2 linked regions of the Arabidopsis thaliana genome follow. The protein of the gene in region 2 purifies or fractionates together with the protein of the main gene of each other region. This does not show direct contact. Each region holds a gene or a part of one and is shown on either strand. Other genes may lie near its edges.

Region 1 (3,590 bases), on a different chromosome or scaffold from region 2:
AAGTTTGGGTGTTTGGGAACAAAACTTCAGCAGTGAAACACTATAGGTAAGTTTAACTCTAGTCTACTGAGTGTATATATGTCTGATTGATTCAAGTCCGCTAAGTTCAACCAGCTGCCATCACATTTATCTTTCTGCTTGATATCTATGTTCTTCTTTTCTTTTCTGGTCTTTTAGTTTCAACATCTTTAGCCGAACAATAATAATTTGTACTGTTATTACTTGACATCTTGGCATCAGAGATATGTGGGAGAAGTCAATGAATGGTCTGCTAAGCTTGGTTAAGAAATCAACACCTTTGTCGTTTACATATATCTGTGAGAAGAGTGGAAATTCTTTGATCGATAAGGTAAACCCATCTGTTCATTGTTTCCATTGTATTACGTGAAAATTCTTCATCGCCTGGCATTTCCAATCTCATTATTTCTCATATATATTAAGATGGATGAATTGGCATGCTTTGCTCCTGGAATGTTGGCTTTAGGAGCATCTGGGTATAGTGATCCTGCTGAAGGAAAGAAGTTTCTCACACTCGCTGAAGAGGTAAACTTATGACTTGAATGATCTTTGATCATAGCGTCGTAAGTGCTTCAGATCTTTCGAATTTTTCGCTCTCTGCTTTTCTGATTTAGGCTGCTGAGATATAGCCTTTATTGCTATTTTCCACATATTTTGCAGCTTGCGTGGACATGTTATAACTTTTACCAATCAACTCCAACAAAACTGGCTGGGGAGAATTATTTCTTCAACTCTGGGAGTGTATGTCATTTGCCTGTCTTTTTCAAACACATTGTTTATTTTATGCGTTATTTATTGTTTAGTATACATGATGATTCAGGACATGAGTGTTGGAACGTCGTGGAACATCTTGAGACCAGAAACTGTCGAATCACTGTTTTACCTCTGGCGGTTAACTGGAAACAAGACATATCAAGAGTGGGGATGGAATATATTTGAAGCATTTGAGAAGAACTCGCGCATAGAGTCTGGATATGTTGGTTTGAAGGATGTAAGTTTTCCGTAGGCGCTTAATTAGATCCTGCATTGTTAAAACCTTGGTGAATTGAATTATATCATTCCACCATCTATATTAGTAATTGAGTGTAACTGATGGTAGATTCTTATTTCTTTCAATCATTTCCAGGTTAATACAGGCGTTAAGGACAACAAGATGCAAAGTTTCTTCCTTGCAGAGACACTCAAGTATCTCTATCTACTCTTCTCGCCGACAACAGTCATTCCTTTAGACGAGTGGGTATTCAACACCGAAGCTCATCCACTTAAGATTAAGTCTCGAAACGATCAGGTAAATCTCAAACAATCCAACAAAGTACTGCTACGAAAACCGGCATTTAGAATACGCCAGAGGCATTATGGTCGGATAACAAAGAAGTAAAACTCCCTGGAGAGGTCACAGTGTGATTCGTAGGAGGGGCTCTATGGATATATCTTAACAGAGCAATTGGATTTAGCTTGGCTATTCAAAGACCCTTTTATTTAAGAAACCATTTTTGGAAAGATTTCAAGATATAGACTATTGTTGTACTAGTTGGGATCAGAACCCAAACAGGTTCACCACAGTTTACACCTTGTGTTTTGTATCCTTACTCCTTAGATTATAAATTAAGAGTATTATCTTCTGTTTTGTATTCGACAAAAGATCAATGTATAAAAGTTTATATAAAAGACTGCAACAATGCAGAAGAAATGTAATGGAAGCAACCAAGAAAAGAAGAAGAAGCAATTTGCAATGAGACCAAGTCTCTGAAAAGACATTAGTGTTGACTAAATCTCCACGTCACACCAAAAGGAAGACGAATGACTTGGCGGCTAGTGTAATAGTTTTAAAAATGACCACATAATCTCACCAGCCTCAAAACCTCACGACACGTCATTCTCTCCAATTCTACAAACACCATTCATTTCATTTCCCTAAAAAATTATGGCTCATGTAAGTTTCTTTGATGTGTGAACTGTGGAAGAGACTACTCTCATCAACCATGAACCATAAAAACTCCACCGCTCTTTCTCTCCCTCAATCATTTACATCTCTTCCTTAAATCTCTCTTCCCACCATCATCATTCCAAACCAATTCTCTCTCACTTCTTTCTGGTGATCAGAGAGATCGACTCAATGGTGAGCTTTTGCGAGCTTTGTGGTGCCGAAGCTGATCTCCATTGTGCCGCGGACTCTGCCTTCCTCTGCCGTTCTTGTGACGCTAAGTTCCATGCCTCAAATTTTCTCTTCGCTCGTCATTTCCGGCGTGTCATCTGCCCAAATTGCAAATCTCTTACTCAAAATTTCGTTTCTGGTCCTCTTCTTCCTTGGCCTCCACGAACAACATGTTGTTCAGAATCGTCGTCTTCTTCTTGCTGCTCGTCTCTTGACTGTGTCTCAAGCTCCGAGCTATCGTCAACGACGCGTGACGTAAACAGAGCGCGAGGGAGGGAAAACAGAGTGAATGCCAAGGCCGTTGCGGTTACGGTGGCGGATGGCATTTTTGTAAATTGGTGTGGTAAGTTAGGACTAAACAGGGATTTAACAAACGCTGTCGTTTCATATGCGTCTTTGGCTTTGGCTGTGGAGACGAGGCCAAGAGCGACGAAGAGAGTGTTCTTAGCGGCGGCGTTTTGGTTCGGCGTTAAGAACACGACGACGTGGCAGAATTTAAAGAAAGTAGAAGATGTGACTGGAGTTTCAGCTGGGATGATTCGAGCGGTTGAAAGCAAATTGGCGCGTGCAATGACGCAGCAGCTTAGACGGTGGCGCGTGGATTCGGAGGAAGGATGGGCTGAAAACGACAACGTTTGAGAAATATTATTGACATGGGTCCCGCATTATGCAAATTAGGACATTTAGTGTTTAGTGCCTTAATTATAGTTTGTGTCATTGATCTGTTTGATCTTTCTTTTCAACGTAAACTAAAAATGGTCTGAACCAATTGAGATGATAGATATTTCTTTAGAGGAGATTTAATTTTTTTAATCAACAGTAAGAAGATTTTAGAAACGGAATAATGGTAATCCAATAGTCATTATCAGGTTCTTTTGAGATGAAATTGAAATCTTTTCTTTCCCAATTTTTTTAAACAAAGATAATTTCTTAGAATATTATGTTATTATCAATAAAAATTGTAAATTGAAAAGAAACTGATTTTCTTATTTCAAGGAAAATTCGTTATTATCAACATCAAAACAAAACAAAAGAGAATAGAAAATACATCAAAAGTAATTCCTAAGGACAAAAGTAATCGTAATCCAACTATAAAAAAAAAGCCAAAAGAAAAAGAAAAACCCTTATATGTATGTGTGTGTTATACAAACCCTACTCTGGAAAAGTCCTAATTCCTAAAGCTACTTTCAACAAAGACGCCTGAAGCATCTGCCTATAGTGAAAGATCAGAAGACTCTTCAACCAAAATCTTATTCTCATCCACCATGGAAGCTCTCTTCACTTCAACACACACACCCAATTTACAGACTAAGCCTCTCCTCAAATCTCCGCTGCCCACTTCTTCCCAGTCTTCGTGTTGGTTTTGTAATTCGCTACCCAAAACGCAATTCCCGAAGCTGAGACTCAGTAATGGATC
Region 2 (4,177 bases):
CAAATGGTTGATATTTTGAAATCAAAAATAGGCCTCAATTAGTTGGGCCTGCTAAACACAACGAAAGATATATAAATATAACCCAAAAAAAAAAAAAAAGATATATAAATATAACTCTTATTTTCTTACTTGTTTTTGTACCATTTTAGTTTGGTAACTTTAACAAGTAAACGACTAGTCGGTACTTTAATTAATTTAAATATGTTTTGCCTGCCATGATGAGGTGTCCATACTCCTTAGTCATCAGAGATCTATGCAGGCATATTCAATCAGAAAACAAAAAATATGCCGATGGGCGATGGTGATGGGCACGTTATTGTGAATTTGTCTCCATTATATGCTCTTTTTCTTATCGTTTATTTCCTAAGATATATTATTTATATACAAACCAAATCCAAGAACAATCCTTTCCCCATATGGGCTATGGGGACTGAAGAGGCAGAAGATGAAAAAGAAAAGACTGTCCTCATATACTAAAATATACGCACCACTAGATTTCATTCATCGAATTTGTAACTTTACTTTAAAGTTTGACTTTCTTTTCCTTGAGAAAACAAAAATAATGTAGATGATAATTGAAAATAAACTAATTTTTCTCTGAAATCTTGTTTCCACGACAAAAAGAAAGTTTACAAATTAAACAACGAGTCATAGGATTTTGTACATGAAACATGTGCATTAATGGAAAGAGATTATATGATTATTACAAAGATTAAAACAGCAAAACCGCAATCACACTCAAATTTACAAAATGACAGAACACAAAAAAAGAGAGAGCCTAATTCTATTGAGATCAAAGTTGGGAGAAATGAAGGAGAAACAAACAAACAAAAAAAAAACTCCCCCATTTAGGGAGATAGTAAAATTACCAGAAAGATCTAAACTTTTTATTAGAAGAAAGAGGAGGAGGAGTGATCTGTGGGACAGTGAAGCCACCATCATCATACCATCTCTTGTTGTTCTGTCCTTGTTGTTTCATGTTTTGTATTGGAGCAAAAGACACTACTTCTGGTGATGTTTCTTTGTTGTACATCCCAAACTGTATGTTGTTGTCTTGAGAAAAGTATTGATTTGGGTATGAAGAAGGAAGAGTTTGTGGAATCTGAGGGACCCAAATCCCTAAATTCTTAGATGGAAGTGACACTGTATTGTTGTTGTTGTTGTTGTTGTTGTTGTTGTTTCTCTTAGTGTTGTTGTCATCTTCTGGTTCCATATATGGTAACACTCCATCATCATCACCACTCTGCAATCACACAAAAGATAACCAACAACTCTTTTTCAGAAATTTTACACAAATACCCAATATAGTAAAAAGATCTATCCACATCTATAAAGTTTGTTACCTTTATAATACATTAATACCTCATTAGATCTAAAATGATATGATATTACGTAAACAGAGGAAAAAAAAATTCAATCTACTAAGGGTCATTGTCAAATCTTGAAATCAACTAAACTTGGATCTTTCTTGATTAAAGAGATAAGAACAAACCTTAGAGAAACCATAAGTAGGAAGAGAGGAATCGAGGAAATCCTCAACGTGCCAACCAGGTAACGTATCCATCAAATACTCAGAAATCGTGCTTGTGGATCCCCACTGATTCACCGACGCATCACCGCCGTTGATCTTCGAAAAGGGTTGGATCTTGTTGCTCTGAGGAGGAGCTGAGAGAGGTTTCTTGAGAGGAGGAGGATTAGAGATTGATGATCCAGGGACAGAGAAATCTTGGTTGCTTGAAGAAGAAGAAGAAGATTTCGAAGTAGGTTTGTAAACAGACGATGTTGCAGAGAGCTTAACCCCTGTAAGAAGAAACCTATCGTGTTTCTTTGTGTGTTCGTTCGCAGCGTGGATCGATGAATCGCAATCTTTGCATAAAATAGCTCTATCTTGTTGACAGAACAACAGAGCTTTTTTATCCTAGAGTTCAATAAAAAGAAAAAGTTTCAGATTCTTGATCGGCAAAAACGATTGAATTAAGACAACAAAACTCATGTCCGAAGTTAGAAAGAGACCTGACAGATGTCGCAGAGAGGAGAGGAGGTGTTGGAAGAAGAAGGATAAAGGAGAGAGAAACGGAGATGTTTAGAGGCGAGTTTGTTAGCGTGGTGGACTTGGTGGTCGCAGCCGCCGCAGAGAGATGCTTCGTCGGCCGTGCAAAACACCGACGCTTCTTCTTTATCGCAGACGTCGCACCTGATCTTCATCGATCGATTAAGAGAGAGATAGAGATGGTGGTAGTTGAAAATGATAGGAGAGAAGATGTGAGATCTTCTTATGGAGTAGTAATGTAAGAGGGTACTTATGTAATATCAGCTCCTCTTTTTTCCTTCTTTCTTGTTTCTCAAATCATATCTTTTTTTTTTTGTTTAATTATATCTCTCTTTTTCTTTTCTTTTTTATTCCTAGAAAATTATTTCTTGTTTTATATGAGATGTCCATGAAGTAAAAAAAATAATTAATTATTACTTTGTTGGATTAATAAAACACAGCGATATAATGAGAGCTTGACTGATGAGAAGTAATTATGCCCATGATAGTTCGGTAGTTCCTCAATGTAAACTAATTATATTTTCCAGCAAAAAAAAATAAGAATGATATATTCAAATAAATTTATTGGCATTCCATTCGATTGTTTGATAGCATTCAAAAAAACAAAATAAATAGAACTTAAATAGTAGCAATGAAAAATTTTCTGTTTAATTCTCCTAACTTGGAAACAAAAAATTGAAGTAGACAATGTTTTCATAATGAAACTAAAAATGATGGAAAACTCACTTATATACCATCGAATGTAAACAACATTAACTCTTTAAAACTTCACTTTTCGATTGACTAATTTAACTTAAGAAATGTGAACAATCAGACAGGTTTAAACTTGTATTTTTACTAGTATCATACCTATACGTACGCTTATGTCAAAACATTTACATCAGAATTAAGATGATCGATATAACACAACCTTGCTTTTAGCCGATTGATCTCATGTTTATTCAAATTTCCATCTATATTATACTTCATGGCATGCAGTCACGCACGCCAACTCCAAAATAGAGGATCGGATAAGATTATATTTGAATATATCATCTTGTTATATTTTATTGTGTTATCTTTGTTTAGAAGATTATATAGTGGAAGCCCGAAGAATTTTGCACTGGACGTGGATGGTGTGAAGGCTGAAGCGCGGGTATCGAACCAAGTGGGACTAGTGGGAGTCTTTCCTTCTACATCAATAATTAAACAGATAATGTCTCAGTGGTTTCCTTTTATGACAAATTAGAATTACATTTCTCTAGTCATTTTATTTTTATTTTGCTTTTATTTCTATCTTGAATTCTGAAAGATTGTTCAGTCAAAATAAATAAATAATTAGATGCCCAATAATGCTTATTAATTTCAGTTATAATTTTATCAGTTCAAATATATATAAATGGAATGAAAATCAAATGTCATTTAGTTCGGCTTGATTCTTAATACTTTTTTTTGGTTTTTATACAGATTTGTTAGCTACGTATATTTTCTAGTCTTAAAACAGGGGAAAACCTAGCTAGCAAATGGAGACAAAACTAGATTTTTCTTTTTAGTATGATAAAACCTTACATGGTTTCTTAAAAGTAAAAAGATATTAATTGGTTCGTATAGATATATAAAATATTAAGGAATAAGGATAAGTTTCAAAATCTAGAACCACTATCAAGTAACAACCAAAGATTATAAAGTTTACTTTTTCAGGAGTGAAATCTAGTAGAACTGTATCTTGTAAATTACTACATTATATCCCTGAAAAAGCATTATATATATTAAAGAATAAAAGATTCTCCAATTAACTAAAGGCGTATGCTTAAAGAAACTTTGAACCCATATTGGAATATGATAATGATTTGAAAGTTGTAATTCTCTTTTAAGAATCCATGTATATGCCCCCTAAATATCTATAATAGGAGTCCCCATAGTCCATAGAAATACCCTTTTAGTCGTGGAAGCTCGATCCAATGTTGCATTGTTGCAGTGGTTAATCAAGAATTTATAAATGTTTCTATGGTATGAAAATGATTGAAAATACTCAGATTGAAAATGATCTTTGTAATCATATATCTCCCGCAGTTCTAATGTTACTAAATGTTATATCAGTCAAGTTAATGTAGATTTTTATTTTTCAAAACAATAATAAAGAAACAT

What was found. Proteins that work in one complex are often made in the same cells at the same time.
Region 1: the proteins of BBX21 (region 2) and BBX32 purify together in Arabidopsis thaliana (affinity purification with western blotting, with the first as the bait; one study listed by BioGRID). This does not show direct contact.

What each region holds. Positions count from the first base shown.
Region 1 is NC_003074.8:7,411,935-7,415,524, reverse strand, and holds BBX32 (B-box 32), read left to right. Parts: upstream 1-1,797; 5' UTR 1,798-2,134; coding exon 2,135-2,812; 3' UTR 2,813-3,080; downstream 3,081-3,590. Other genes in the region: MNS2 (alpha-mannosidase 2), read left to right, coding at 1-46, 241-349, 442-543, 679-759, 839-1,009, 1,145-1,396; AT3G21140 (Pyridoxamine 5'-phosphate oxidase family protein), read left to right, coding at 3,439-3,590.
Region 2 is NC_003070.9:28,364,087-28,368,263, reverse strand, and holds BBX21 (salt tolerance homolog2), read right to left. Parts: upstream 2,441-4,177; 5' UTR 2,206-2,440; coding exon 2,014-2,205; intron 1,919-2,013; coding exon 1,493-1,918; intron 1,244-1,492; coding exon 866-1,243; 3' UTR 526-865; downstream 1-525. UniProt on the Arabidopsis thaliana protein: Transcription activator that acts as a positive regulator of seedling photomorphogenesis. Acts downstream of COP1 and play an important role in early and long-term adjustment of the shade avoidance syndrome (SAS) responses in natural environments.